4 linked regions of the Drosophila melanogaster genome follow. The protein of the gene in region 1 interacts with the protein of each later gene in a pairwise test. Each region holds a gene or a part of one and is shown on either strand. Other genes may lie near its edges.

What was found.
Region 2: the proteins of CG16826 (region 1) and CG8490 interact in a two-hybrid assay, tested with the Drosophila melanogaster proteins (one large-scale study listed by BioGRID).
Region 3: the proteins of CG16826 (region 1) and Trf4-1 interact in a two-hybrid assay, tested with the Drosophila melanogaster proteins (one large-scale study listed by BioGRID).
Region 4: the proteins of CG16826 (region 1) and Rnf146 interact in a two-hybrid assay, tested with the Drosophila melanogaster proteins (one large-scale study listed by BioGRID).

Annotation. Positions count from the first base shown.
Region 1 is NT_033779.5:13,344,560-13,350,845, forward strand, and holds CG16826 (uncharacterized protein), read left to right. Parts: upstream 1-3,213; 5' UTR 3,214-3,237; coding exon 3,238-4,263; 3' UTR 4,264-4,461; downstream 4,462-6,286.
Region 2 is NT_033778.4:12,331,796-12,337,596, forward strand, and holds CG8490 (uncharacterized protein), read left to right. Parts: upstream 1-3,520; 5' UTR 3,521-3,581; intron 3,582-3,636; exon of another isoform or gene 3,637-3,645; 5' UTR 3,646-3,690; coding exon 3,691-4,326; 3' UTR 4,327-4,410; downstream 4,411-5,801. Other genes in the region: garz (gartenzwerg), read left to right, coding at 1-303, 678-931, 1,000-1,701; CG34021 (uncharacterized protein), read left to right, coding at 5,192-5,473, 5,543-5,746.
Region 3 is NC_004354.4:8,557,449-8,564,979, reverse strand, and holds the start of Trf4-1 (topoisomerase related function 4-1), read right to left. Parts: upstream 4,086-7,531; 5' UTR 3,721-4,085; intron 3,286-3,720; exon of another isoform or gene 3,219-3,285; intron 1,828-3,218; 5' UTR 1,608-1,827; coding exon 605-1,607; intron 573-604; exon of another isoform or gene 497-572; coding exon 1-496. Other genes in the region: CG12112 (uncharacterized protein), read left to right, coding at 4,957-5,059, 5,122-5,327, 5,401-5,554, 5,617-5,759; IntS4 (integrator 4), read left to right, coding at 6,282-7,531. UniProt on the Drosophila melanogaster protein: Involved in a post-transcriptional quality control mechanism limiting inappropriate expression of genetic information. Polyadenylation is required for the degradative activity of the exosome on several of its nuclear RNA substrates.
Region 4 is NT_037436.4:19,635,393-19,646,214, reverse strand, and holds Rnf146 (ring finger protein 146), read left to right. Parts: upstream 1-3,398; 5' UTR 3,399-3,547; coding exon 3,548-3,863; intron 3,864-4,190; coding exon 4,191-4,321; intron 4,322-4,996; coding exon 4,997-5,150; intron 5,151-5,230; coding exon of another isoform or gene 5,231-5,727; exon of another isoform or gene 5,728-5,856; intron 5,857-5,896; coding exon 5,897-6,642; 3' UTR 6,643-7,669; coding exon of another isoform or gene 7,670-7,764; 3' UTR 7,765-9,008; downstream 9,009-10,822.

The sequences.
Region 1 (6,286 bases):
AAGTAACGACCGCACATACAGATACAATGTTGCCCAGCCCGTAGGTTGGTGGTTTGGATTTGCAGAATGGCAGGATGGCAGGATGGCACTGCGCTAAGTGACTGCTGTTATACATTTAGCCAGGGCTGATGGGATTGTGCCGAGCGATACGGTGGAGCAGATATGGCCAGAGATACGTTTACAGTTGGAGTCGAGAGTGCGCCCGGCCACCTCATATGCTCGCATACTTGTACACTCGCCTCTGAACAACTGTACAAATGTACAAATGTACAAATGTACTCCGGTGGACTACACTGCTGCCACCTGGCGCCTCCACCTGATCCCCAAAGCGTCCAGGAGCGCGACAAGATAAAAGCTGGTGCACTAAATCTGCTGCTATGTGCGCCACGGGACACAGTGGGCAACCTTCTACGGCAGCTCCTATTCTCGCACTGCTTCTTTTGGTCGGGCCACGCTGCGTATGAGCAATGCTATGCGCGTTAAGTATATGTATTTGTTTGTCCTAAAGGATTTAGCCAAACGGCCCTCATCATGGTCGCCTGCATATGCAAAATAATGCGCTCGAAAATTTTCCACTCGTTGCACTCACTTAGAGCAATGGTATTTTAGGAAAATATGCAAGTGCACTCAGTGCTTTTATGTATTTCATTCTGATTTTCATGAAAAGTTATATTTATTGTGCTCTGTAAGTAAAGCAAGTGCACGGAATTGGGAAAATAATATATATTTCCGGACAGTCTGAAGAAAATATTGATATATTTAAACTATAAAAAATACCTGTGGGAAGATTGTTCGGATTATTTTAATCTCATATGTGCAAAAACGAATTAACGAACTTTTATCATCCACTTTTCGCTGAAACTGCAATACATTCTGCAGGCCCCTAAAGCTCGATGGCCATCATTAATGCAGCCATTATTTCCCATATTTTTTATTTTTTATTTATATTTCTCCTTATCGTAGGCAGGCCTGAAAGGGGGGCCAAGTTAATTTCAGAGCACACTTTACGTGCTGCAATTTGGAGCGTTTCAGTTGCATTCGGACCCGGGCCAGCAGCACATTTGGTAAGCAATAAATTGACCCGCCAGCCGACGCCATCATCTACTTTAAAAGCATTTGTTGCCACACCGCCACCACCCAGAACCTGTGGCCGCGCCCCCAATCAGCAGCACTTGGAGCCATCCGCCGCCCTGTGACCTCCTCCAATCCCCTCCAGCAGTTGCCAGAGCGCCGTACTCGAAGCGGCGACGACGCTAAAAAGATACCGGAAATGTTACAGGAAACAAAATGACTTAATGGCCGCGATTGCAACGGCATGGAATCGTTTCAGGCATCCTCCTGATCCTGGTCCTTTTCCATTTTCCTTCATGCTCCTTGGTCCATAGCCTGCTGGCATTCATGGAGGTTGCCGAGGTCAGCAGAAAAGCATAAAGGAAAGGTTATGGCACGGCCATGTGCTGAATGGATACCCTTCTTCAGATCGTCTTTGTTTACAAACATATTTTATATCAATAAGTCATAGTTATTATTTTTAAAAAATAATAAAAAGTTAAGCACTCTTTTAAGTGCTCAAAGAATAGCTATTAAAAAAGGTACTAAGTTTAATAAAATACTTATCACGTGTAAGACAAATATATTCTATTAAGGTCAAGTGATATTTGTGATGTAATCCCACTTACATAAACTTTTTTGAGCTAGCATTTAAGCTCATGCTTCTCGAATTCCCCACATGAATTGCTTTTCTTAAATGGACCAGACTCTCCCACTCCACACCTGATGTCCTCTAAATGGAGCCGATGATGAGCGTGATCCGCCAAAGGCAAGTTACTGCCCATACGACCCGACCCGACCTCTTTCTTTAAACAGGTAATTGCAATTGCGACATCATTATCATATGCTAAACGGAACTGATTGCTATTGAAACGGTTTTGAGGTTTGAATTTCTTTTGAGCTGAAACATATTTCTAATTAAATTAATTAAGCGAAGCGAGAATATGGCAAGTATGCAAGCCAATTAGTGGAAAACGCAAAATTAAATGTCTGTGCATTGAGGAGACTGCAGCGGTGTGGAGTGGATGGGTGTAAAAATAGCTGGGAAAAATGGCAACCAGAAGAGTGCGGGATCGCTCCGCCAACCCATTGTCCTTGTCCATGGAGCACTTTGTTGGCCACTCCGGCTATAATTGCGTTGAGACATGTAAGCTTTTGTTTTGCAGTTAGGCGTGTGGCTGTGCGACAAAGTTAATGACAGCATAATTAAACAAAACTAACAGCAGACTAATAAAATGTTCATAGTGCATGTCGCTCAAGGCCTCGGCACATCACCACGCCATCACAACCCCATCACCTCGCCACCCACAATGCCAGCTACTTTCCATATCTCCAAATGTATATACATTTATACAATACATATACCTGGCGAGCATTTCATGTCGTTGTGTGTCAACGTTTGTCAAGCGACAATTAAAGTCATAATAAAGGCATGCTAAAGACAATTATTATGTGCACGTCCTGCCACGCCCCCCAAAAAGAACCACCCAGTTCGTTCGGTTAGTTATGCATAAAGTTCGCCACAAAAGGGTTTAACCTGAGCGTAAACATGCGCTCCTTTGTCTCGCAGGCATATAAATTTCAAAATTAAAGCAGAGTTTAACCTTTGTCCTTGTGCAAATGGCAGGGTGGGTCTATAACCACCTGCCTGCGATTGTGTGAGACCCGCATAAAGAGCCTTCGGTTTTAATGCACGCGAAATTGACTTATTTGATTTATTTTCATAGTTTAAGCCAAGGGCTTTTATTATAAGCATGCTTTAAGTGAGTGGATTTGAGAGGGGATTTTAAGAAAATGCAAGGCAAAAGTTATATTTATATTCGCGTTGTTAATTATTTATTGAGTACTGTATTTTGCGGTGATTAAAAAAATAACGTTGTGTTTGAATAAAGAAAATCATTGTCCTCATAACACTGAGAATGCATAAAATAATTTTTTTTTTAATTGCCCCCAAGTACAGTAAAACAAATGTGCACAGAGCTTTCTTCGAAAAGTTATCCAACCAGCATGCATTCCACTATTCGCTCATTATGGAAAGCGGCTGATTAAATATTAACTAATTTAATAAAATGCCGGCCTGCTTCAATATTGAAATAGTCAGCGAATGTATTTGCCCAAGCGCACGTAGCCGAGATATATAAAAGGTGGTCCAGGGTGCAGAATGATTAGGCTATCCGTTGACCGACGATGCATTCGACCAAGTCAGCCGTTCTCCTGCTCGCCCTGGCCATCAGCGCCAGCTGCGTTGTTGCCACACCGCATCCGGAATTCTTGGATGAAATCTTCGGCTCCATAAACCAAACTGGCCAGCACATCATCAGTGGATTCGTGAATGCCACCAGGAATGGCACGGCCATTGCTGGTGAGTTCCTGGACAGCATAAGGAACTCCTCCGCCCAGTACACGCACGAAACCCTGGAGTTTGCCCAAAAAATCGCAGATGCAGTTCATAGAGCCGCCACTGAGTCAATCGTCGACTTTTCCGCGACTCTGAGGGCGCAGATCGACGCACTGCATCAGGGGATTGATCGGGTGAGAAACATCCTGCAGCGAGAGGCACTTAAGGATGCTCTCGCCAGACTGCAGACCGTCAATACCGTCGTAAATGATCTGGAAGTGGCCGTGAATAACCTCAATGATCGGATAGACGAGAAGAAACAAGAGTATTTCGCCATAATCCAGAAGAAGTGGTACCAATGGTCTGACGCCCAATTGGAACGAGTGGATAAGCTGACGAATGGAGTTGGCAACGAGGAAGCCGAGGAGATCATAAATGAGCTACTCTCCCGGTATTCCGGATATCTGCACAGCTGCCTGGAGGAGTTGCAAGCGCAGCAAGCCACGTTTGAGCAAAATGTCCAAGAGGCCATCGAAAAGTACCACAATGCCACCAACGAACTGACGGACCAAGTCGAGCTCTGCGTCCAGTTCAACCTCAGCTTCCTGTCCTGCCGCAATGGCATCAATGAGGCACTACGCGGACTCGACTCGGCTCCCGCGGAGCTGCTCACCCTGAAGCTTCAAGGCATCCGACTACTGGCCATCGGCCTGAATGCCAGCGGATGTGTGGGCCAGACCCTGGCCGAGCACGAGCTGGAGAAGCCCAGCGTGGAGCGCAAGCTGGATGAGATCATTGCGGAGTACCAGGAGCAGCAGACTTCCACCGATGACGACTCTAGCTCTAATAATGAAACGACCACCATAAGTTCGTAGGATTTCGGGGAGTCATCCAGTAATGAATATGACAACTCCAGCAATGACGACGAATCCTCATGGAAATATTTACAAGAACGTATAGTGTATTTTAGGTGTCGGGTAGAAGCAGCAAAATAAATTACTCTAATGCAACTAAATTAGAAATTGTTTTCCTTCATCGTTTATCAATGATGTTTCTTAATAAACTATGCCAAGCTTCTCAAAATATTTCTTAACTTTGAACAGTACTTTAAAAATTACTCTACCGCAAACGTATTACCCAGATACCGATTAACTTCATCAATGGTGCAGCACATTTTTTGCGGATGCTAAAGCAATTATTTTAAAATTGTCATATTCATTTATTTAGGTAAGGCACGAAAGTCGTGGCAATTTAAAGACACGAGGCTTTAGTAGATTAATTATTTAAATGCATTCGATTCTGCCTTTATATGTAAATTAAATAAGGGTGCTAAATAATATAGAAAAAGGGAAAAAGAAACTAACTTGCACTCTTAGCACCTCCCCTACTAACAAATGATGCAAATGAACTGAGTGAATTCCCCTTAAAGGACTTCCCCAGCTGCTATAAATATAAATAGTTGTATAACAACAGTAACGAAAGGTATAACACTGAATTAACAATCTCAACTGCTATAAAAATGAACTTTTGTGCTTTTGTATAACAGTCAATTGAAGAGGACACGAAGCGCGTAGTACAGCGTTTATAAAGTTTTATGCTGTTATATTTTTCAATGAAAATGTGTTATTTCATATCGAATATAACAGATTTGCTATAATATTCAAATTATGGCTCCGTTCAACTAGCATACATCTGATTCTCATTTATAGCTCATACGCCATGTATACATAACTAACGTACAGCTGGGTAAATTACATTTATAGCTCATACGCCCTGTATAACACGTGTACGATTTCCCCTTTATGACTTTGCGAGGGGGGCACTAAATGAACCACTCGAGAATAAATATTTGCTGAAATAAAACGCAGGCTTTCTATCTTAGTTTGCTTACTTGCAATTTTATTGACTTCATGTGTTTGAATAGATCTCTTTAGTATCTGAATTTGCCTCTTATTACCTAAAGACCACTAAATCTGTTTTTCTGATTTCTGTTTATTATTTACTTAATGATTATACTTTTTGTGCGCTAAGCCAAACAAAAAGTTTACAGATTTCGAAGCATTGGAAATTCGATTCAGTTTCGTGATAATACTAAACTTATCATTTTGCGTTTCTGCCTCATGCACAAGCCAAAAGACAAGGACCTGTAAATATGTCCCAAGCTTTTTCAGCCCACTAACTCATAGACTGAGCGCTTACCTCGGAGGAGTTTCGGCCTTACTAATTGATAATGTTGCACTAACAGTTCGCTGGCAAAATATCGATACATATTCATTGTTTTGCTGCATGCAACGCCTTACTTTCATTCTTGTATACCTTATTGCTTACTCTAAAACACGAAACAATGGCTTAGATTACATATGAATTTCGCATTAGGAATTTACTGAATTTTGTTTAGGAATAATTTTGCATTAGGACTACCAAAATCGGGAAAGCATATTTTCCAAATTAAAGAGAACAACCAAACAGTGATTAGTGATTATAATAATTTCGTAGTTGCTTCTATCTAGCATTGTTTAAGTATTTCTTAAGTCTCTCATCCCTTGTTTCATCGGAAAATATATCAATGAAATATTTGTTTCAAAATTTATATAACTGAAAATATTTCGTAGGACTCAAACATTATGTAGAGGAATTCAAAATATATTTTTTTTGAACAACCAACTTGATTTTCGCTTGAGATCATACAGCTACAATCATGTGTTATTGCTTCGATTCGTAAGTGCGTTCCTTTTATTCCTACTGTGAGCAAATGAACATACTTAAATACTTAGGGTCAGTTAATTTGTTGAGCATTCTGATGATGGCCAAATGAAGTTGATAAACCGCACCGGAACACAACCAACTAAATTCTCAAACTAATTGGCACATAAATGAACCAAATGCCCCAATTTAAAT
Region 2 (5,801 bases), on another chromosome or scaffold:
GAACGGCCACCATTATGTCTAAGGTGTTCCTGCAACACCTGACCACGCTCATCGAGCTGGGAAATGCTTTTAACGAGCTGTGGCTGGATATATTGGACTACATTGAGCGCTTTATGAAGGTGGGATCGGACACATTGTCCGAGCAGATGCAGGAGATACTGAAGAACATGCTGCTGGTGATGCATTCAGTGCGAGTGTTCCACAATCAGGATGGTAGTTTACAGCAGGCTCTTTGGGAGCTAACCTGGCGACGCATCGGCGAATTTTTGCCCAACCTGAAGGAGGAGCTTTTCCACGACGAAGGTGAGTAACGCGGTGTTGTAGAATGGGTCTAATCTTTTATCCTACCAGCAGATTCAATTACTCCAGCGGTTTCGCTTGACTATACGCAAATTAGATTCGCCCATTCTACGGGCACAACCGATTATTCCTTGTCCCTGCCGTTATATGGCTATAGTCCAAAGATTTCCTCAATATCCGCAAGCAAATGTGATACCCTTCCGGCTACGCAGCGCAAGAAACCATGGGCCAAGCTAAGATCCAAGCTAAAGTTGCTCAAGAAAGTTGGCAAAAAGAATTGAATAGTTTTATATTTCCTTTTATCTTTCCACTCCCCCGTTTATGTCTTTATATTTTTATACAAACTAAACAATAAATGTGCTCCATATTGATTGCAGGCAAGCGAGCTCAGACCTTAACGAACCCAGCTCCACAGGCAGCTGTGGCTGCCGCTCCACAGCAACAGTTACCAGCGGTGACCATTTTGCCCAGGCAAACCCAGGTTTCCAACGAGTTAGTGGTGAGCGCGCCTACTCCGCCGGCAGCCACACCTTTGCTGGGCTCTCCCGTCGAGTCGCCGAGGCGGAGCATAATACTGCAGCCACCCATGGCCGATGTACTGCAACAGCCGCCCAGCTTTGTATTTGCTCAGGTAGGTTTTACAAGAATAAAATATAGTTTTCTATTAATTAAACAAATATTTTTCATGCATGTGGACAGCCCATTATTGTGCCACCCCAGCCGCCTGCAGTTACGGACCCAATACCACCAAGTACATTATTGCCGGATTTGGTGAATGAGGCAACTGCTGCTGCCGTGCAAGCCACGACCACGTCCCCGACGCACAGCCCGCAGGAGGCGGAGCAGCCGGCTTCAATAGTGCAGCAGACCAACATCGTAACCACCAACAATACGTACAATAGCTACGCCATTGAGGTGCCCATGGCGCCGGAGACAACTGCGGAACAGTTTGGGCAGCAGCAGCAGCAACTGCTTTACCAACAGTACTATCAACAGTATCAGGCCCAGCAGCAACAGTTGCCGGCTCCAGCCAGCGACCCTGCCATCAATGTGCCAATTAGTCATCTGCTGGCCGGAAATGCGTACCCCTCGCTCCCCAAAATGCCGCAGGCATCCATTGTGCACAGCTTTGCGCCCGTTTACGAAAGCCAGGCGGCGACGAGTGGAGCTGGGACAGCAGCAGCGGACATCTATCAGGAGTATGTGCAAAATCCGTACAACCTTACGTTGCAACAGCATCCCCAACAGCAGCTCCATCAGCAGCAGCAGCAGCAACAACAGCAGGCTACAGGAATGGCCAACGCATTTCCCGCCGTTGCCACGCCAGCCAACTACTTTAATGTGAATGTGGACCCCAGTAGCATACCGCCCGGATCGGAACTGCTCTACGGCCAGCAGTGAAGAGGAGCATTGAAAGTTCATTTCAATTTCAATCAAACCACCTGACCGTCTTAATTTGTACCCCGTATAAAATTGTGTCAATTTGTTTTTGTTATTTATGCCTCCCCCCAACTAAAGTAGAACTACATTCCGCCATGGCGTGTGTTTATTAAGCTATCCAGAAAAACAAACCTAAATCACAGATGCGAAGTTCGGCTGAACCCCCTATAAGCTTTAGTAATGCAAATAGTTTAATTAATATTAATTAAATAATTATATCTTCTGTATGTTATGCAAAGAGGCAAACTGTAAATAATCAAAATTAAAAGTCTATAAAACAAATCAAACGCTGGTGTTTTATACATTGAAAAGTTCTCAAAGCCTTTTTGGGGCAAAAAAATGTAATTGGCGACTGTTCACCCAACTCCGTGACAATGCATATTGCAGCATTGCCGTGACCAGGATTCGAACCTGGGTTACCACGGCCACAACGTGGGGTCCTAACCACTAGACGATCACGGCTACGTCGGGTTGTTGGGTGGAGCTTCCCAAATCCCAGCTCGCTACCTAATGGTCATCATTGATTAACTAAAGTCTTAGTATCAACTAGATCCTTTCATGCGAGTTGTAAAATAAAGTCAGAAGTTAGAAAATATTGTTTAAATAAAAAACTGCACTTTTGAAATTAATCTTAAATTGTTGAAAGGTTTAAAAAATAAAAAAAAACCCCGACTCCGTGACAATGCATATTGCAGCATTGCCGTGACCAGGATTCGAACCTGGGTTACCACGGCCACAACGTGGGGTCCTAACCACTAGACGATCACGGCTACATCGGGTGATGTTTGACTGCTGCCAAATTACTTTTTTGAAACAAATCAGTTTTGACTTCAATCTTCAATGTCCGAAGTTTCTACAAGTATCATAGATAATAACAATATTACTGATTTTATTTATCACTTCTTTTAGAATTTTGGACACCGACCGTATATCAAAAGTAATTTTATTTTAAAAGAAAACAAGTTTTCTTTTCTTTCTTTTCTTTATTGGTTAATTAGAAATAGCCCTGCCTTTCACTGGGCGTGCCGAATGCCTCTCACTTTTCGAGCTACTTACTGGTTTAAGCTACCATTACATTACCAACAATTTTTAACACATGCGTAAAATTATACAAATTTGACAACATTTTCAATGAAACACTAATTCGAGTTATCACTAAAACTTAAGATACATGCGTGTAGAAATATATTTATGTCTCTTAAGTAACATATCTATCCTACGAATACTTCAAAATATCATAAAAATTCTAGTATTCATCCTTAGCTTTCTTCAGAGTATACCTTTGCATAAAAATATATTATGTATAAATAAGCAGCGTTAAATTTAAATCTATATCGTTGAATAAGAGAAGTTTTTATAACTATAGAAAATATATAGACATTTTTAAAAAATTAAAAAGAAACCCCTTTTAAAAAATTAAAAAGAAACCCCATCTCCGTGACAATGTTTATTTCAACATTGCCGTGACCAGGATTCGAACCTGGGTTACCACGGCCACAACGTGGGGTCCTAACCACTAGACGATCACGGCTACAACAGGGTGTTGGGCACGGGCAGCCAGAATCCAAATCTAAGGCACAGTGTTGCAGAACGACACACAAAAGTAATTAATATTAATTACTGAAAGCAATCAGTTGATAAAAACGAAAGCTTATAAAATTTCGCTCATAATACAATAATTGCATTATAATAAGTATATGAAACATACGTCTCGAACATCGAGCACCAGATGACGCCAGCCAACTATTTCGTTGTGCAGCACTATTTGGTTGCTATCGTTTAATCGGTCTATCGATATGAATAATAAGCCCAAGCAAACAGCCTGGTAATGTTGAATTAAGGTAAGTTTGTAACTGAAACACTCGTCAGTTAAATGGTTGACTAAAGTCATAATAGTTTCATTAGCTTGAAGACAACCATTGGGAGGTGAGCAGCTTTAAGGCCATCAGAATGGAATCCGATTCGAGCGAAAGAGGAGAGACAAAAGCGAAGGGAAGTGTCGGTGGAAAATGTATTACATTCAACGAGCTCGGTGCCAAAACCGCCAAGTTCGAAAAAATTGACCCTGATTTAGCATATCCATGCACCTCGGGCCAAGCAAACACATCGACTGGCGCTGCTGCTGATGGATCCAGTAAGAGTGGACGCCACAGGTCCAGGAAGAGCCAGCATGGCGCCAGACGCATAAGTGCTGACCTTCAGTTCGAGTCGGTTGCTGCAGACGAGCTGGGAGCCGGTGGATCCAAGGCACCTAAGAAACGCAAGATGGAGCAGAAAGCCACGGTCGCCCAGGACAAGGTGAGCGTGGCCATCAGAAGTTTGGTTCAGAGCGATGAGATGCAGGAGCTCATCAAGCGCATCGCCAACGAGCGGGTTCGCTGCAACTTCCTGCTGGCCACCTATCAGCTGCCCGACATGAACTTCAGCCTCAACACGTCCATGGATACGCTACGCAATCAGTTCCGGGAGCGCCTCAAGCAGCGTCGCGACCGAGGAAATGCCAATTTAGCCTCCTCGGCTTTATCCCCAGCCAGTAACCGCCAGAAATTCCCCACCAAGGGAGTTGAAAAGGCAAAAAACCCGTAGAATTATTATGTTTTAGGAGTAAATAAACATTAAATAAAATAAAAGATTTCGGAGCTGCTTTGGTAGCCCGACACACTCAGGTTCAACCAAATATACATATCTATATATATACATACATACACAATTTGTAAGAAGCAACATATTAAAAAACATTCCTCTTCAATATTATTCAAGACAATTTAAAATTCGTTTTGCTTAAACAGATTTATTTACGACTTGCTTGCTTACTTGCTATGATTTTCTGCGCACTTTGCTAAAATTAGTCATTTGGCATAGACCTCGCATCACCCGATGTAGCCGTGATCGTCTAGTGGTTAGGACCCCACGTTGTGGCCGTGGTAACCCAGGTTCGAATCCTGGTCACGGCAATGTTGAAACAAACATTGTCACGGAGTTGGGTATTTTTTTACACTCTAATTATTTTGATGAAAATGAAAATAATTATTAAACAAATTGAAATGATATATAAATAAATGATAAAACATGTTTTTGCTAATCTTATTATTTGATTTTCTATTTGATTTGGGGTAGTGTTTACTAATTACATCTGCAATTTTTTTTTATTAGGTGACGTGGTGGGATCTTGGAATTGCTGGGCGCAATCCAATGTAGCCGTGATCGTCTAGTGGTTAGGACCCCACGTTGTGGGTTACCACACCCAGGTTCGAATCCTGGTCACGGCAATGTTCAAATAAACATTGTCACGGAGTTGGGTTATTTTTTATTTTTAAGCTTGGAATTGGCTATTTTGTACAAAATGTTGGTTATCGAAAACTCGTTGAGTTTTAAGTCCACAAGCACCAATGAACGAAATACTTCAAAATAATTAAAATTTGAAAATATACATTTTTCTGGCAAAGTGAATATGGATGTCACGAAAACATCAAGCGCTGAGGAAACCGAAAACACGGAAAATACTAGTCATGCTAAAAACATTAACGAAAACGTATCAAAATTTTATGAAACTATTGGAAATATTTCCCGAAATATGCGCAAGGACGATTGGACATATCTACAACGCCATCCAGAGATCCGAGCCATAATTCGGGTCATTACAGCCGAGGCGGTTAAGGCAAAGCCATCGAATATCTACCAATTTACAGCCAATTTATTTGGAAGCGAAAGAGACGAGGAGATGGTAGAAAAGGCAATAATTTTTGTTTGCATATTTACATAAATGAAAAAAAAAACGCTTAAAAGAATTGTAATTTTCTAGATAAACAAGCAACTTAAGTGGTTGGAAGAGCAGTTGCGAGGGGGTACGTGGAATCCTGACGAAGGATGTGCCCCGTTTCCAGAATCCAGCGAGACTTCTTCGGAAACTAAATGCCAAACTAATTTTAATACCACTGCGAGTTTCAACATACCCGAAAAGCAAGTTTGCCCTGAAAATTATAAGCCAGATTGCAAGAAATGTTAAAAATGTGAACTTAATAAATTCAAAAAAAAAAAATTCAGATTGCAAGAAATGTTAA
Region 3 (7,531 bases), on another chromosome or scaffold:
ACCATGTCACGCTGCAGCTCATCCTTGGGCATGTAGCGGCCACCGTTCTTTATGGAGATGCCGATCTTCATGTAGTTGAAGCGACGTCCATAAAGTTCGAAGAACTCGAGGAGAAGCACCCCCAGATTGGCTGTATCGTGGTAGATACCGCGCGGATGCATCTGCAGGAAGCTGATGCACATAAGGATCAGCGAGTAGGAGGAGATGCCGCCCGTGAACACCTCGTTGAGATCGCGAAGTAGTAAGAACTGCTTCAGCACAAGCACTAGCTTCTCCAGCACTGGATAGTCGCGCTTAAACTTCTTAATCAGCTCCGCCGACTGAACACCACTCTGCATGTTGAACGATATGTCTACCTTCACTTGCGTTTCCCGGTCCGTCAGCTTGATGATGGGCACTGATGCCTTGTCCAGAACACGCACCGTACAAGCCTCGGCGATACCACGGCTCACTAGCTCGAACTCCAGCGTTCTCAGCGGCAGCTTCTCCCACAAACCTGAAAGTAAATTGAAGAGATTAGGATAAGATAATAAAGCCAATGCATAAATAAAAAGTCAATGCATGTGGGGGCCACTTAAAAAGCTAGTACCGTCCCTTCACTCACCTAACACAACGAGATCTATGTCGGAGGTGGGCAAAAAGAGGCCAGTGCGAAAGGAGCCAAAGATCTCGACTACTGCCTGTGGCCAGATGGAATGGACAACGGCCTCGATACGCTTGACCACCTCGTTGCGGATGGCGTGTTCGCAGGGCGTGGGCAGGACGTACTGATAGAAATGCTCGATCTCCTCGTGCAGCCCGATAACGCCCTCGCCATACGGATAGTCCGGCTTGCGCCACGGTTCGCCCTTGTACTTGGCGATCATCTCCATATGGTTGTTCATATAGTAGTGGGCTCCGCCAGCCTTGTTCTCCGGTCGTTTCTTCCGCGATGGATTGTAGTAGATGCTGTTCGTGCGGCTGGCGGGCGTGGTCGTTGATTGTGGCGGGTTGTTGCTGGTGTCGCTCATACTAGTGGCTGGACCAGTCGTGGTCGCAGCTGTGCTTGACGCTGTCGTCGCCGGACTATTTGTACCGGTACCTCCTGCTCCTGTTGACGTTCCCGTTCCTGCTCCGGGTCCGTTGGTTGAACTGCTATTGGCGGGTGAGTTATTGTCCCGATTCGTGGTGGAATCTGCCGACGAGCTAGTGCTGCCGCCGCTTGTGGTATTGATGTTGGTGCTGTTGCGCTGAGTGGTCCCGTTGAGCTGCTGCTGTTGTTGTTGCTGCTGCAGGATCTCCAGGGAATCCGCTCGGAAATTGAGCACCCGATTTAGCGAGCTGTAGGGTCGCGATAAGTAGGGTTTGGCCGATGAATTGTTACCAGTGTTATTGGTCGTGTTGGTGATAGTGTTATTGATGATGTTATTGTTGTTGTTGTTGTTGTTGTTACCACTATTGCTGCTGCTGCTGCTGCTGCTCGTGCTCCCGTTGATCGTCGTCGCCTGCTGTAGCTGTTGATTAAGCAATGCGCCCATCTCTTGGGCATTCGTCTCCCAAATCTTTAACCATGTGCACAGCGATGGTCCCTCCTGTTCCTTCTGAAACCAGCCAACAAATGGATCCATTCAAGACGGGTTCACACGGCTGTTGGCTGGGCGGGAAACGAGGGGGGCGCGCGTCTCTCCTTCGCTTCGTCCTTTCACCTCTATCCTCTGCGTCCTGGTGGTCTGAATATATAGACGTGACTCTATATAGATCCGATGTGATCTTTGTGCTCCACAGGGAAAAATTAATTAAAGTCGCTGCCGGGACTAAACCTCTTTGAATGCTGTCAGCATTCAAGTGCTGTAAAGAGTGTCACGAAAAATGTTAATTAGTTACCGGAGTAGGAGTTATGCGTATCCTATTCTACTACCTCTACATACGTTTAACGGTTCAAAACAATAGAATTCTCAGTTATGATCACAATATTACACTAAAGTCATTGCCATTTTAATTTCGGTATATTCTGGTATAGTAGGTAGACTTGTCAATCTTATTTGTTAACAATTAATGTGAAACAAGGCAGAACACCTAATTTGATTAATATTATTAACTTATCACTCAATAAATATGCCAATGTTCGCAGTTTTGCGAAGAGAGAGAGATTGGCTTATATTAGGAAAGTTCTGGAAGAACAAATACCCTCCATTTGTTCACTAAGTACAACCATATACATTTCGATATAATCTACAGCAGTTGTATTTCGAGGCTTTAACCAGTTTGGGACTCATTGTTTATAATAATCCTAAGTCAACTTCAAGTAATTTGATAAATCAAATAAATACTGATATCAAAATACTGTTATTGATGTACAGGTTTTAGGTTAACTCGGGGAGATAAATAAACAAAGGAATGGGGTTGAGATTGAAGGAAAGGAAACAATAGTAACAGTAGTTGTTGGTGCTGCTCTTGTTATTTTTGCTCTTTAAAAGGGGTTTGCATGCATTTTACACAAAATGGAAAGCGTAAATGGCAAACTATTACAAATTATGCGCTCTTTTTCTACAAATAGAAATGCCCCGCTCTCTCACACATCCCCTCCCTCCCACCACTTTCAAGCGAGCGCTCTTATTCACTCCTTTTTGCAAACCAATTGCAGCTGAAGCGTTTAAAGGCGCCAGTCGAAAATTGTTTTTCAGAGCGCGAAAAATCACACATACACACACGCGCTAGAAAAAAAAAAAACAAAAATGGGCCACAACAAAAAGGTTTTTCACATACGAAAAGCAAATCAAAATGCAATAAAAACAACAAGCAATTCGAAAAAAAAAAACAGAAGGAAAAACAGCTCACGAGACTCCGAGACCCGCAAATAAATGACTTCCCAAGTGATATTATATCTCGCACCAATACACTGATAGCTACTCTAGTTTTGTGCAGCGTGCGTGTGACTCTGTTGGGTGTGTGCGTTTGTGTGTGAGTGTGCAAGGGCGTACAGGTGGCCGTAGTATGGGGGTGGGAGTGGGAGCGGGACAGCACACATGCACATGTACCGAAAGGCGGCTTCGATTATGCAAAAAAAATATAATACAATAAGAAAAAAGGGAGAAGAAAGATGGGCAGAGAAACCGCTAAATGCGCACACACCTACACCTAATGCATATTTTACCCGATACGATTTTCATTTGCTGGCTGAATTTTCGGTAAAAAAAAACTTAGTTGCATTTGACAGAGGAAAACTCCCGTACACCCACACACATTTACAGCAGGCCATCGCGCACATGTACTTGTACATTTTAGGCAAATTAACACTTTCTTAATGTTCGCCAGTGTTGGCTAACGACCCAAGGAGAGCAAGTGAGAGAGCGGGGCGAAGTGATATTGAAGAAAGGCAGAAAGAGAGAGCGATTTATTGTTTTAACCGGCAAAAAACATACAGAGGCTGAAATTAGTCGGAGTAATTAATTGCAGTGGATATCGATAGACGGGCCTCGGTGTTGCCACCTGGCTTCGAAGGGCTCTCTCTCTTTACAGCACTGTCCGGGGCAAATGTAAACATTTAATTTATGCAACCGCTGCAGTAATTAAGCGAAAATCAATTAAGCAGACTACTCCAAACGCACGCCCGCTCTCATCCTCGTATTCTATCACACGCACACACATGCGTATCGAACTGCTCTTCACATGATTTCTCGCGTAATTCAGTTGGAATTTTTCACACACAATTCGTTTCTTCTTTTTTTTTAGCCGTTTTACCTTGACAAGTTTTGGTTCTCGTTGCGATTGCGTTGTATTTCAAGTTTATCACACATACATATACTCACACCTACACACGCAGCAAAACGTGAACAAAATACACATGTTGGTTATAAAAAATAAGCCAAGTTATATTATGCCAGTTGTATTATTGTGCAGCACAAAACCCGCCCAAAAATTAATGGAAAATTACAGTTGTTGTCGGTCGGCGTCGCTGCTGCTTCTTCCGTTCTTTCTTACTGTCTCACTCTCCCTTCTCACATATCCTTATAAGCACTAACAATTTCTGCTTCTCGCTCACTTTCGTTGCGCTGCCGATGGAGCTCTCTCTTTCACTCCTTGCTGCCTCTATGCCTTTTATGCACTCCCCACACACCCGCACACAGAGTGACATTTGAAGCACATACAGACGCACACGACTGGTTCTTTCGAGAATCGAACATTACCGAATTTATCAAATTGCGCTTCGCAATTGTGCATTTCCTGTGCAGATCGCAGGCCTCAATCGCGGCACGATTGTTTTTCGCCCTTTAGCAACGTTCCCTGTCAATTTCTGTGGATTTATATTGCAATTTGCGTGCGAACACGCGACCGTTTCGCGATAGAGCTGGTTCACGAATCGATTGATGAGCGATGTTATCGATAGACCTGATAAGCGAGAGGTGGATGTGCTCGCTAGATTCGCCAAGGTTGATGACTCCGCTAAGTGAATGGTCCTATTACAAAATATCGATGACATCCAAATTGCTTGTTAAATATAGTTTCAAATTTAACTGTAACATAAAAAAAATGTATTAAATCAATTTTAAAAAAACCCAACTTAGCATTTGTTATTTGGGGAAAGTCCATGCTATTCCCACCTACTCAACTGACAGGACGCATCACCAACTAAATTCGTTAAAAACATTGTGATTATTATAAACAATTAGTATTATTTATCCTGTGGCTTATGCGATTGGTTGTCATGCGATATTCTGGCTTTCACCATGTTCTCTGTACTACTGTACAGTTCCGCCGCTAATCAGACGTCGTCATCACTGATTCACCAGTTACTCATATGTGATGAGCAAGAGGGAGTTTTTGCCCGTGCCCTTACTTTCCCATTCGTCGCCTAGCGAAGGCAATGATGAAACAGCGAGGAATTCCATTTGGAGCTTAACTGTGTAGCGAAGCGAATCGCTTCCATTAGGGACTTTCCTCAATTCATAAACTAAATATACATATGTATTCACTTTAATGCTAAAAATTAACGAAGCAATGCCTGAAATCAAGAGACTTTGCCTCGCCACCGAGAATAGTCATATCGCAGCCAATGCCATGCTGCTAACAAAGATAGATGGTATGTTTGTGACATACATATCTTATAACACCGGATCATATTACATTACCTAACCCACTTAGAACTCAATTCCCAAGTCCTGTCGCAGCGCGCAGAAATCGAAAACTTGACGAGGGCGGTTAAGACACTTACGGAATTCGTTAAGCAGTCGATGAAAACGACCAAGCCGAAGGCGAAGGGAAATCCGGACGATGATTTTCCAATTATGTATGAGGAGGATCTGGTCGAAGTGAATCACAAGATAAGCCAGGACTCCAGGGGGATCTATGTAAGTTTCTCCTTCCTCATGCTTTTCCATCAATAGAATATTATATAGTTGTACTTATATGATCCCTGATCAGACGAATTCCATGCGGAAATTCCTGCGCCAGGGAAGATTAAGCCGCACCATAAGACTCATTTTCTCCGAGGACATCCTTCTGAACTACAATATTGATGGGAATCAGAAAAAGAAAAGACTAAAAGATCACGAACATCTGTTTCGTTCGCTTATGAGTAAGTTTAGTGCTCGACATCCAACTTTTAGTGATCCATTCAATAATTATCCCCAACTACAGACGCCATCGGTCAGGTGGAACCGACGCTACCCTCGGAAAAAGTCTTATTCAAAGCCATGAGATGCGTTAAGAATTGCGCAGCCAAAAAGAAGGGCAAGGTAGATGATGACCCCTTGTCCGTTTTGAGCGTGGAGAAATCATAACTGTGCCCATGTGAGATGACATAGTAGAAACAAGGATTTAAATATAAGTAATGATTTACGGGCGAATCAATCCGAATTGAGGATGAATACCCAAATAGTGGTTGATGGATCATCATCACTTTGTTGAGAAGTTATCACTTCATGGAGAAGAGCGAGAGCAAAACAAAAGACGAAAAGAAAACATCGATTTTTCACTATACTATCGATGTTTCACGCCTTCAAAGTGAAATGTCCAAAAAATATGCCTCGTTTTCTTTATATGATTACTAAATGACACATTTTTTTAAAATAATATAATTATTAAATGCCTGGTGATATTAGCATTATCACTCTTGTGAAAGCAATTTATTTAGTTATGGGTTATCCACCAGCAAGAACCTCTTGCGCGGTCACGATGCCATCGCTAGTGGCGGGTGGTTGGCATCAGTGGTGTGCCATCTCTAATTTGCGGTTTACCTAAACCAGGTGGAAGAGTGCAACTCTAGTCTGCATTGGTTGAATCGCGCAAAGGAAAAGGAAACCATGGCGCTGGCCATTAAGAAGCGCGTAGGCACCTACGTGGAAACGGTGGACGGGTCGCCGCCGGTGAAGAAGCTGCGTCTGCAAACGCTGGCCGCTGATGCCAAGGGCGGGAAATCCGGAAAAGTGGGCAATGTGGAGCGCAAGCTGACGGCGCTCAACCAATTGGACGCCTATGTGGGCAACCTGCCCGCCGGTGCGTTGGTCCTGCCCACTGGGACACCAGTTGCTTCGACGGGAGCCCCGTCAACAGGTGTCATCGGAAATCCGCCGGCTGCGGCGACTGGAGCTCCCCCAATGACGGCCGCGAATAGCAGGGAACTGCTGGAGCTCTTGGTCAAGATAACCGATGAGATATCCTATGAGGACGTGGAAATGGGCGAGCTTAAGGAGGTGGCCAGCAAGATCTTCCAACTGTATCAGCTGCAGGAACGCGATAGCGACACCTCCATCCGGGTGAAGCTGCTCGAGCTGCTGTCCGGATTGGGTTGCGAGTGTGCCACCGAGCAGGCGCTTACCATGATCATCGACTACTTTATCTTCTTGTTGAGGAAGGAGGTGTCCCAAAAGGTGCTCGCCCAGGGCATGATGTGCCTGTTTCGAATCGGGGAGCGCAGGAAGCACATGTTGCCCATATCGTACAAAACCCAGGTGGCCCACCTAGCCAAGGAGCAGCTGCGCTCCGGTTCGGCGCATACGCAGAAGAACGCCATGCTGGTAATCGGTCGTTTTGCCACCAAAATGGAGGGTGAGCGTCATTACGTATGGAAGTTAGCCTTCTACATCGACTCGCAGGACTCGAGCGTTCGTGCCCAGGCTCTGCACGCCCTGCTGACCCTCGGCGAACGGGGATCCCAACTGCCGGCGGTGCTCTATAAGCGTGCCGTCGAGGCCATGAAGGATGACTACGAGTGTGTGCGCAAGGAAGCTCTACAGCTGGTCTTCATGCTGGGCAATCGGCATCCGGACTACATTTTACCCTCGGACCGCCAGCAGGAGGAGCTGCGCATGATAGACGCTGCGTTCAGCAAGGTCTGCGAAGCCCTGTGCGATCTATCGCTGCAAATTCGCGTGCTCGCAGCGGAATTGCTCGGTGGGATGACCGCCGTAAGCAGGGAGTTCCTACACCAGACACTCGACAAAAAGCTGATGAGCAATCTGCGCCGGAAGCGAACGGCGCACGAGAGAGGTGCTCGCCTGGTGGCCAGCGGTGAGTGGTCATCGGGTAAACGGTGGGCGGACGATGCGCCGCA
Region 4 (10,822 bases), on another chromosome or scaffold:
CGCTTAAAACTAAATCTTCGGCGTCTGGCCTTTTGTCCAAGCCAGCTTTGAATCTGAATAGAATCTGAATGGTCGAAAAAGCTGGGAAACTGTTGCCTGTTTTTCCCTCTGCTGTTTTTACTTATTTTTTTTTGTTGGGGGTGTCAAAAGCCACACGACACAGGACACTTGGACCTTCCCTGATCTTCTTCTTTGTAGTCTGTGCCATAATCTTTGCCTTTTTATCGCCGCCCATCTGTTGATGTCTTTATTAAAAAAAAAAAAAAAAAAGAAGAGAGTAAAAGTAGCTGGAAAATCCATTTTTAGCCCATTTTTTGTGGGTTTTATTGCGCAGCCGAGATGAGGGAAGGCAGAAAGGACACTTCTTAAGCATTTTATTAGCAAACTTCAAGTTGTTTCGTCTGCACATAATTAAATAAAGCGTTAAAATTAAAAATCAAGATTTTGCCTCCTTTTTTGGGAACTCTACCTAGGCATCCGAAAAAAAATATGTTTTGAGTGTGGGCGGGGTGAAAGGATATGGCCGTGCACTCGGCAAAAGGACCTTTTCTCTCAGATAAGCATTACAATGTCGTTAATTCGCTTTCCTTTATGCCGCGGCTCGGAATTCCTTGGCCTAAAGTACCAAAACGCCGCGATAAGGAGCGAAAATGTTGCGACATTTTCCGCCTGGTAATTGTCCTTGCCAGGATGCGCGGTGTCCAAGTTTATTGCCTAACGACCGCGGCACGTTCCCCTCGTTTTTATATTTTAATTAAAAACCAGCAGTCAACTGGCGGGCAAAGTGAAAGGAGTGGGATTCAGTGCCGCAGGGAAGGTAAGTTTCGAATGTAGTTCACTTATCCTCGTAGGCATTGATATATATACCTCTAATTTTGGGATGATTGCTCTCTTCTCAAAACTTTTAAGAAAATATCAATCTTTTAACTTGCTCAAAAATTCAATTGAAACTAGCTCATTGTGTTGCCTTGGCACTGTCATATATTATTTTTGTTGTTAAAAACGCTTAGCAGCTTTACAAATTTGTATAGTTTTACAAACTATACTATAATTTAACTATTTTATGTAAAAACGTAACATACAAAAATATTAATTAAAAATTAACTTAGATTTAAATAAAAGGAATGATAACATCAAATAGAAAAGACATTATCCTTCATGCATTTTAGCATTCTCAGAGATCAAAATGGATTGACAATCCAACTTCGATCTCCATGAAATTTATTTATGTCATAACAAGTTTTGTAAAATCCTATATGTAACATAGCTCTATGTTCGCTGACTCGCTTAATCCGTTAACCTTAAGGACCCCCTTCACAGGATTTTGATTGCGCTAATACTTGCCACAAAAATCAGCATCTAAATAGGAAACTCGTGCGAAATTCGATCGTAAATTTATTAGAGCTTAGACTGCACTGCCTGCAAGCCTCGATTCACATGTGTCAACAGACAATTTTCGTTTATTAAGATGGGATTAGGACCCAAAAAATGGGTATAATAAAATGTTTAAGGGGGAGCAAGGAACAAGCCAGCAAATGATAAAATAAAGAGCAATAGGCCAGATGCAAAAGTAGCTTATTACAAAACGAGGGTGCAAACAGCGGCAGCCAGGAAATTTCCTTCTATTCGCCCTTTTTTATGGTAACAAAAAAAAAAACAGGCTGACGAAATCTGCCATGCTGGGGAGGGGGGGCAATATTTTTATGCTTATGACGACCCTCTTTTGTGTTAATAATCTTGAGGCGTCCACCGTTGTAATTACATTAAGATTTGAGGTTTTCTTCTCCTTTATTTCTGCGGGTTACTTTTTATGGTTATTTACATTTTTGGGACCAACAGAGCGATGAAACAATGAGCCACGGCAATCATCATTTAAATTTCTTCTTCTGTTTCTCGATCGTTTGCTGGCAAATAAAAATTCAATTGTGCACAACATAGAACAATTATGACAAAAAACCAAGTGCCGAAACGAGCACACAGGATAAAGGGTTGAGTGGCGAGAGTTCAAGGACTCGCCGTGCATATTAAGTAGTTGCTGTGTGTGCACTTCGAATGATATAGTGATGGGTATGCTGGATTCGAGTCGATGTGCGTAAATTTAATTAAAATAAATATATATATATATATATATATATTCCTATTACCATAATTAAAGTAAAACTGCATGTTAATCTGATGCTAATAGTTTAAATAATATAATAGAATACTTTTGTGTTACAACTAGCAACTAATTAATGTATTAGTGTCAAAGGAATATGGTTTAAATATTAAGTAATTTATATTGGCTTTAATACTCGCATATGAGTTAATACCAGGTAAACTTGTGGTCTAAATTCTGGATACTATAGATACTTTTTTCGCTGTCTTTCTGTAAATACACATTCCCCAAGGCAAATCACGTCGAATGAGTGGCATCCCAGGATGGGCAACACATTTTTAAAACGCCCAAAGGGACACGTGCATGAAACAGCCCGGCAGGACATCACATTCGCAGTCGCAGAGTCGCAGGATCGAAGCTGGCAGAACGAGAGTAATTTACAAAACTCGTCGCCAGTTGACTTCAACGCGTTTGGCCGTCGCGCAATTAGGCAATTGGCCGCGAGTGTGCGGGTGTGGGTGTAATTGGCAAAAAATGACATGCAATTGCGTGGTGGGGCGGGGCGAGTGCAGAAATAAACCAAAAATTGATTTTTATGTAATGAGTGCGAAGGTCCTGTGCAGGACAACTGCAACTGCCTGTTGTTGTGTGTCACTTTTTTTGGCCTGTCGCACGCCGGCTGCATATTAAAAAGCGCGTGATGCCTTCGCTGGTCAAAAACGCTGGCCGAAGGCCTGTCAATTTTTATGAAGTTAAATTCTCAATGAAGGTGGGATATACATACATACATACATAAATATTATGGCAGTTCGCTGCGAGAGGTGTTTCGTGTAATGAAGCGCATAATTTTAATTGGTTTTTGTGAATTTAATATAGCATTATTAAAGCGGCGGCTGCAGGTAATAAAGCAGCGCCAATTAATTTAGAAATATTTTCGACCGAATATAAGTTAGTTCGATTTAAGGCATTCTCTAGTACTTTGTTAAATGTATAAAATAATAAACTGCTTAATAAATTTTAAAAAATTTACTTTTTATAAATACTTTTATCTTAGGATAATCTTTATTAAATGTTGGTCTTTTATTGACCGTTAAAAATGGAATAAATAAGTTTATTATCCTATAACCAAAAGCTTTTTTTTTAAATAATTACAAGTTTTCAATTTTGCAACTATAAATGACTCTACTTTTCAAAGACTGAAAATAATATTTAAATAAATTCATTGGCGCCATTTCAGAACTTAGCAGCACTGAAAATACAGTCAACGGTCATACCGAAACGAATGTAGTATTTTTGTCGATGACATTAGCAATTCAAAGTCAGCCCGAGCTGGTCATACTCAGGCAGCAACAATTTTTTGTTTCAAGTTTGTTTGTGAAAATTTAAAACTCAACGTCGACGACAACAGCTCGATTTCCCCGCTGTTGACGAAATCGATCCAATCCGACCATGTCGCAACAGCGCTCCACAGAGCAGATTGCAGCTAGCAACAACAACACCAGCGATGTAATAGCGCTGGACGACGACGAGGATACGGATGTGCAATTCGTTGCAGCTCTGCGTCCCACCGCACCAGTCATCGATCTTTGCGTCTCGCCCTCCACTTCTGCTGCTGCTGCTGCGGCGGCGGCAGCTGCAGCCCACTCAGGAGGCGGAAGTGGCGAGGATCCGGCGGTTGGATCCGCATCTGGAGCTGCTGCTTCGGATACCGATTCACTTGCTTCTTCGCCTGACGAAGGAGCGTTAGCCACCGGTGTGGATGCAGGTAAGCAAAGTTGCCTTTCGCCACAAGAAGTTCCCTTTGCTTTTATAAAGCTTTAGGATACACTTGCACTATTCCTAGAGCGCATACACACGCATATGTACATATACATATGTACGAAATCAAATTTGAAGGACTTCCTAAAAGCATTTCAAAGCAATACTAGAAGGAATTATGAATTATGACAGATTATTTTGCACTCACTAGCACAATAATATTCTATAATATTATTGAGAGCACAAGAGTTATACTTTTGCATCGTTATTATTCATATATCCCTTAATCCTTATTCTATTTGATTTAACTTATTTCAATTAACTCAATTTCTAGCGGCAGCCGTTTCTGGCGAAGATTCCCCCTCTGCAGCGGCCGCTGCCTTGGAGTGTCCCATCTGTTTGCAAACCTGCATCCACCCAGCTCGTCTCCCCTGTGGCCACATCTTCTGCTTTTTGTGCGTGAAGGTAGGTAGCCCAGAAAGCCGAAAGCGGAAGCCTTTCGTGGCCACTTAGTCATTCAATTCACATTCAAACTCGCTTTTCTTGAATATTATTCCCGATCAGCAAAATCACCCACAGCACGTAGCCAAGTTCAAGGCTGTTCTTAACCCTTTGGTGCGACAGCTGGTTTCACTGATTGATTAGCATGCCAACCGAACACGGCTGACCAGAAATTATGGCATTAGATTGGCTTCCGGCTGACGACTTGTCAATTGGTCTCAATCTCCTGCCAATTTCAACCAGTTTTAGCCTAAGACTACCACTCCAATTAGCACTCGAGTGCATTTTCCTGTTCAGAAACATGTTTGGTCGTGGGAAAGTGTTGGTTTAGAGAGGCGATTCCAACTTCCTTAGTTTTGTAAACTTCATCTATGCTTATAACGTTTAACACAAGTTGTTATTTTTTGGTTGAGGTAAAAGACCTCATATTTTATTCCAGTGTACTTAATGTGGGGTAAAGGTCTTAGGTTGGTATGATCGTATTTTTGCGTTTTTACGCTAATGATAAGATGCTTTTCTGAAATGTATTATTTTCGCTTCTTGTTAAGTTTTATGTGTTAGGAAATTACAATTGCTTTTCAACACATAGCGATGTCGAATCAAATTTTAATTTCTCATTGGTCATTTTACGCTTTCCAGGGTGTTGCTTATAAGAACCGCCGTTGTGCTATGTGCCGTCGCGAGATTCCCGCCGAGTTCCTGGACCATCCCCAGCTGGTGAATGGCATTGAGGACATCTGCACCACTCGCGCGACCGAGGACGGCTTCCAGTGGTATTACGAGGGAAGAAACGGTGAGTATAATTAAGCTTTTGGTGCCGGCCGTCCCTCATTCCCATAAACCCCAAATCCTTCACGCACTAAACCCATCTAGGGGGCTGGTGGGCGTACGATTCTCGGACCAATGCAGACATCGAGATCGCCTATGCTGGCTTTGAGATATTCAAGGCAGATAACCCTGAGCTTGCTCCTTTATTTGATCGGGACTGTCCAAACCCTATCAATCACTATTGTCTGTGTGACGAAAATATTATTTTCTACAATGCCGATTCAGAAATTGTTATATACCCAACCATTATTCGTTCATCTGGTCAGGGCGCTCCAGCCTCTTCCGAAAACAATGGTCGGGACTCGCCAGCCCTATCATTGGACGATATTATGAGCTTAGACCCCGATGAGCTGAACATCATTAGGCCGCATCCATGCACACTGCCCATTCAGATCTGCGGGCGTATGTACATCATCGACTTTTTGCAGAATTTACAGTATCTCCGCTTGACTCCAGAAAAGAGCCGCAATATAATGCGCTGCAAGAGCACGGATGACGTTTCTGGCGGAATGAGAGGAGTTGCTGGACTGAGCCAGAACTAAAAATACAAGAACACTTTAATAATTAATGACAACACCTAACTCCTTACCCATTCCGCACATCCATTTCCGTAATAACAAACTGTAATTAAATGACCAAATCGTCGAAAAGAATTGGACCGATTCCATTCCATTCCGAATTTTTCTTTCTTGTCAAAATGTTTAACTATAGGTTGGTGGCAGTACGATGACCGCACTAGTCAGGACATCGAAGATGCCTTTAAGAAGGGCGACAAATCCTGTACAATTTTGGTAGCCGGCTACGTCTACATTGTGGACTTGGAGCAGCTAGTCCAGCAGCGCCAGAATGAGCCCACTCGCTGCCGGAGGGTTAAGCGAGACCTAGCCACCATACCCAAAAAGGGGGTGGCCGGTCTGCGGATCGAAGGCAACCAGGTGACCAGCGACACCGTCTTCAGCAGGCCAACCAACACAGCCAATCCAACCACCGTGGCAGCAGCTGCCTCCAGTTTCATATCCACCATAGCAGCCACAGATGCGGCCATTAGAATCGCTAGCGACATAATAGGCTCAACGCTGGCTCATGCAGATGAACTAACTCGGGGACTGACGGCTAGCAATCTCAACGATGATCTCAGCAGCAGCGGTGAGCAATCCAACTCCACAAATTCAAACGATGCAGGGCGCTCGCCTGCCTCCTCGCCTGCCTCAAGTTCCATGCAGGATCTGATCACGCGTGACCTGAGGAACACCCAACAGGTGATTGCCCACAACCAGCACACCATTGATCTCTTCGAGCAGGCCTTGAACGACTTCCAGGCGCTGGCCATGCGCAACTATGTTGACTCCAGCGATGAGGAGAACAACGACCAGGATCAGGAGCATGAGCTGCGGGAACGGGAGCAGCTGGAGGCGGGCGAGCAGCCACAGTCCAACGATAATCCCCAGAGATTTTAGAAATAATCTACTTACCAGAAAGCTTATATTGTTGCTCGCCTAATCGATACATTTAAAGAAAATATCAAATGTTCCTTTAAGCAGATTTCGATATACGGAAGGGGAATGTTAACTAGAGAAATGCAGCGCGTACCTGAGAATATATCAACTAACATATATAACCATAGGCTCAGAGCGTTGGGCGTCGAACAGGAAAAATAGAAAAAATAGAAAAGAATGTCTACAGGGTAAACAAACATATTCCTTAAAACATAAAATCAGATATTGAAACATAGACGTTACAGCAGAAACATAAATAATCTATTTAATACGATATTCAATTTTCCCCAAACAAACTTAACCCAATTAAAGCAAAAAAATGGTATTCTTAGTAGGAAATGGTAAGGACAGCAGTGGCATTGGTTGAATCCATTTGTGTGGCCTGTAATGCTCTAAGAAATCTCTGTAAGACCTCCGAATAGGATTTCTCTGAATTAACCTGTACATAATAATTACAAAATCAAGAGTTCTACAAGAATTCGGAAAGTTAACCCTCCCTATGGTCTCATTTGCAAGCTGGCAAAAGTAAATATAAGCTCCTCCACCAAGAAAGAGTAGTGTGAAAAAGACAATATTTATGAATTGGGATTAACTAGACATGTGAGTTCAATTAGCAGGAAGTTCCCACTCACATAATTGATATTCAGTGCGTTTCTTAAATCGGAATCGTTTAATTTGACTTACTTTCCACAGTATCTATGTTCTGACACAGTTTTTAGATTTAAATTAATGCAAGCTGTTTTCGAAGCGCACTGTCATCAGGGGAATCAGATGCAGTATTAATTATTAAGTCGCCGTGAAGTGCGTTAAACAAAAACATTTCTGTGACAGTTGAATATATTGATATTTTGTATACTCTAAGTTGCTTTAAATAATAGATTTAAAGGAAAATTGTTAGACAGACCTAATGTTGTATACTACAACTATGTGCTACGGATACGATATACGCCCGATTTAATAATCTCAATTTTGTGACTACTATTTATAGATTCGTTTTCGATATGTACTCCGCCATTACTTCTAACAGCGAAGTGCGTATTCGTTGCTTCCCTAATATCTACGGTATACCTAAAGCTCTACTGAACCCGACTCCCGACTTCGAAAAGCCCCTCCTGGTAATATCAACAGCAGTTTTAAAATTAAACCTCAAATTGATTTCACCGCAACTCATTGTCAACCTCATAATACTTTCTGGCATTTTCCATTGCGCATTTTACTGGATTTTGATAACATTTGCTATTCCATAACTGACAATGAATGAAATGGTCTTAATTACAATCATTTGCATTGCATATCTGGAATACAGAGCCTTTTCGATATGGTTTTCCTATCCTATGGTGGCAGTTTCTAAACAATTCGATTCGTACTTAATAATCATTTAGCTTTTCAACAATTAAATCAAAACCAAATGTGCCAAGAAACATTTATTGAACAGCACTCGCTCCGGTATTTTTGACAGCACTGATAAGGCAACTCTAATAAACAGCACGTAGCATTTTCTGTCGTCTAATATAATTACATTTAATTAATGAATTAAGCATTTACAACTTAGTTTATACAAGATGTTAAGTAATAGATATTGCTGAATCCGATAAATGTCGATTAGAGATCTGGCTTCTGTGCAAGATCACATTTGTAAGAATAGCTCCTAGGACATGTATTTAAGTTGGGCAATAAAAAAAACCACAAAACCTTTGTGAAATATTATTTTAATGCTCGCTTGTCTGCGAATGGAAGTAATAAATATTTACATTTTTTATTTCAAGAAACTCAGTTCTTTATTAAATTTCTAGATCAGAACTGCGTACATTGAGGAACATATTTAAAAGGTTTTCCATGATGGCAGCTTTAAAAAGAAAGTGTGTTATAACCAATTGACCATATTGGATTCCTTTTTTAAAAAAGGCAAAGTGAAAAAAATAACTTTCCTAACAAATAGATATTAAACAAAATGATTCATTATTTTGAAGCACAAAAGAAAGAGATATTCCAATCTTCCATTGATACACTATTATTGTTCTCACAACAATACCAACAAGATCCTTATCTCAATGATCCTCAACTACCCTTAACTTAGACTTGTTAAAGGCAATTCTTGTGTTGAGATCATATACCCCCTCCCCCTCGCAAGTGGCACTGATTGACGGGCATGGAACCTGCACCCTGGACATGGAACTGGAACCCTGGGAGATACTGGCCCTCGGTGTCCCTCAAATGCGTGAAACCCTATGACTCATGCGCAATGGACCAAAAGAAAACGCCTGAGCCGCACGCAGGCAGCATAACAATTTATTGGTCAGAACATACAAGAAAAGGTATTTGTTGATAACGTGGAAGGGGGGAGGTGGCTCTAAGAAGGGAAAAGTGGATTGTGTGATTGGTAAGGATACACCGCGACAAAAAGATCTTATATACTTATGGCGTTATGCTGTTATCATGGGTGATAAAGGTAATATTTTTATACATATGTACGTAACATAATAATAAGTTGTTAATTTCGAAATATTTCGTGTATAGAATAATGCTTTTCCAATTCATAGTAGAGACATTTATTATGAATATTATATGCTATGGAAATTCTAAGTATGTAAATATACAATTGATCGCTGAATATATGCTATGGAAATTCTAACTATGTAAATATACAATTGATCGCTGAATTCGCTAAGTATTTTCCACGATGTAGAAAAGCCCCCACCCACTAACATGTTCTCCAAAGAGATCAGTCCTCTGTGGGTATGAGTCATCTTTGTTTATGTAGAAATTATGCTACCTGCTGCACTATGTTATTTTCATTTTCGTGCTCTACCTGTTGTGCGAAAGCGGAGGAGCAGGGGTATGGGATTCGACACAAATCCGGAGACACCGTTTTCACAGCTCTGCTCTTGTATAGCAATTCTTTGATGACGTGCCGAGTTTAACTACATACCCAGCTTATGACGTACAGACTGATAAGCTGATAGGTTGTTTACGCAAGCGAATTGCATTTAAGAACAATTTAAAGTTTAATTTTTATATGTATGTATGTTTGTTTGTGTATAAAGCGAAAAAGTATTAAGATCATACTTTAAGTAACTTAGCTCATGCTTTTATAACATATATTGATAAAACAAAATCAAAATACATACATACATTCTTTTTAAGAGTATCACTAAGTTTTTGACTTTCCTTAAATAGATATACATACATACATATCTAGTTATTTATTTCATTTATTAAGAAGCTGACTTTTAAATAAAATTAATACCCACATTTAGTATAAAAAACTGTCTAATAATAAATTTTTCTACTTTCAGATGTTCTTTCAAAATTTTAGATCAAAGTTTCCAAAAGTTGCTAATAGTATTCTTAAATTTAGTACTTAATATTCGAAAGAGAAAATAAAAATAGAAATGAAAAAGAGTGTGGTAAAAGCGAGGTTTTAGATATTCAACGACACACAAATGTGTACATCTAATTTCATTGATTTGAATTATTTAATTTATTTATTTTTGACTTCATTATCTTTTTAAGCATTATTTTGCTAAAAGCTCAGAAGCAGCTGCCATGAGCGCTTTTAGGCACTGAACACGATCGTGCACGTCGCTGACGAGAGCTTTATTAAACTTTTAAGCCAGATCCAGTTTCATTGGCACTATCAAGTAGAGTGTGGTGAGCAAAAGAAAAACGGGGATAATCGGAGAGGCGACAGCAACAACAACGACCCAGTGCCTTGGCAGTTGATGTCTGTTTGTGGTTGGCCATCCCGCGCAGTCGCGTTCTCCCGCACACTTGCGCAGTGAACACAACCTGCGCTCCAAACTGGTTTTGGTGGAGGAAATCCGCAAGAGAGAGCGCTAGAGAGCGGATTGGAACTCGGTTTCGGCCAAAGCCAAAGCAGAGCCAGCAGCCAGTTTTTGCTTTTTAGTCGATTTGTATCTACCTTTGGTGCGGACGGTTGGTCGGAATAAACGCGTTTCGCAGCGGAACTCCAAGAAGAGCAGAAAACCAGTCTTTAATTGTTCCATTTCAAGCTGAAATCAAATAAAAGTTCTTCGCCAATGGCTGAATAAAGTACGAATCAATGCAATCACTACGATTCGCAGTGGAAAATTGCTGGAAAAGTGAGCAAAGTGTGTGAAAAATGTGCAAATACAAGAAT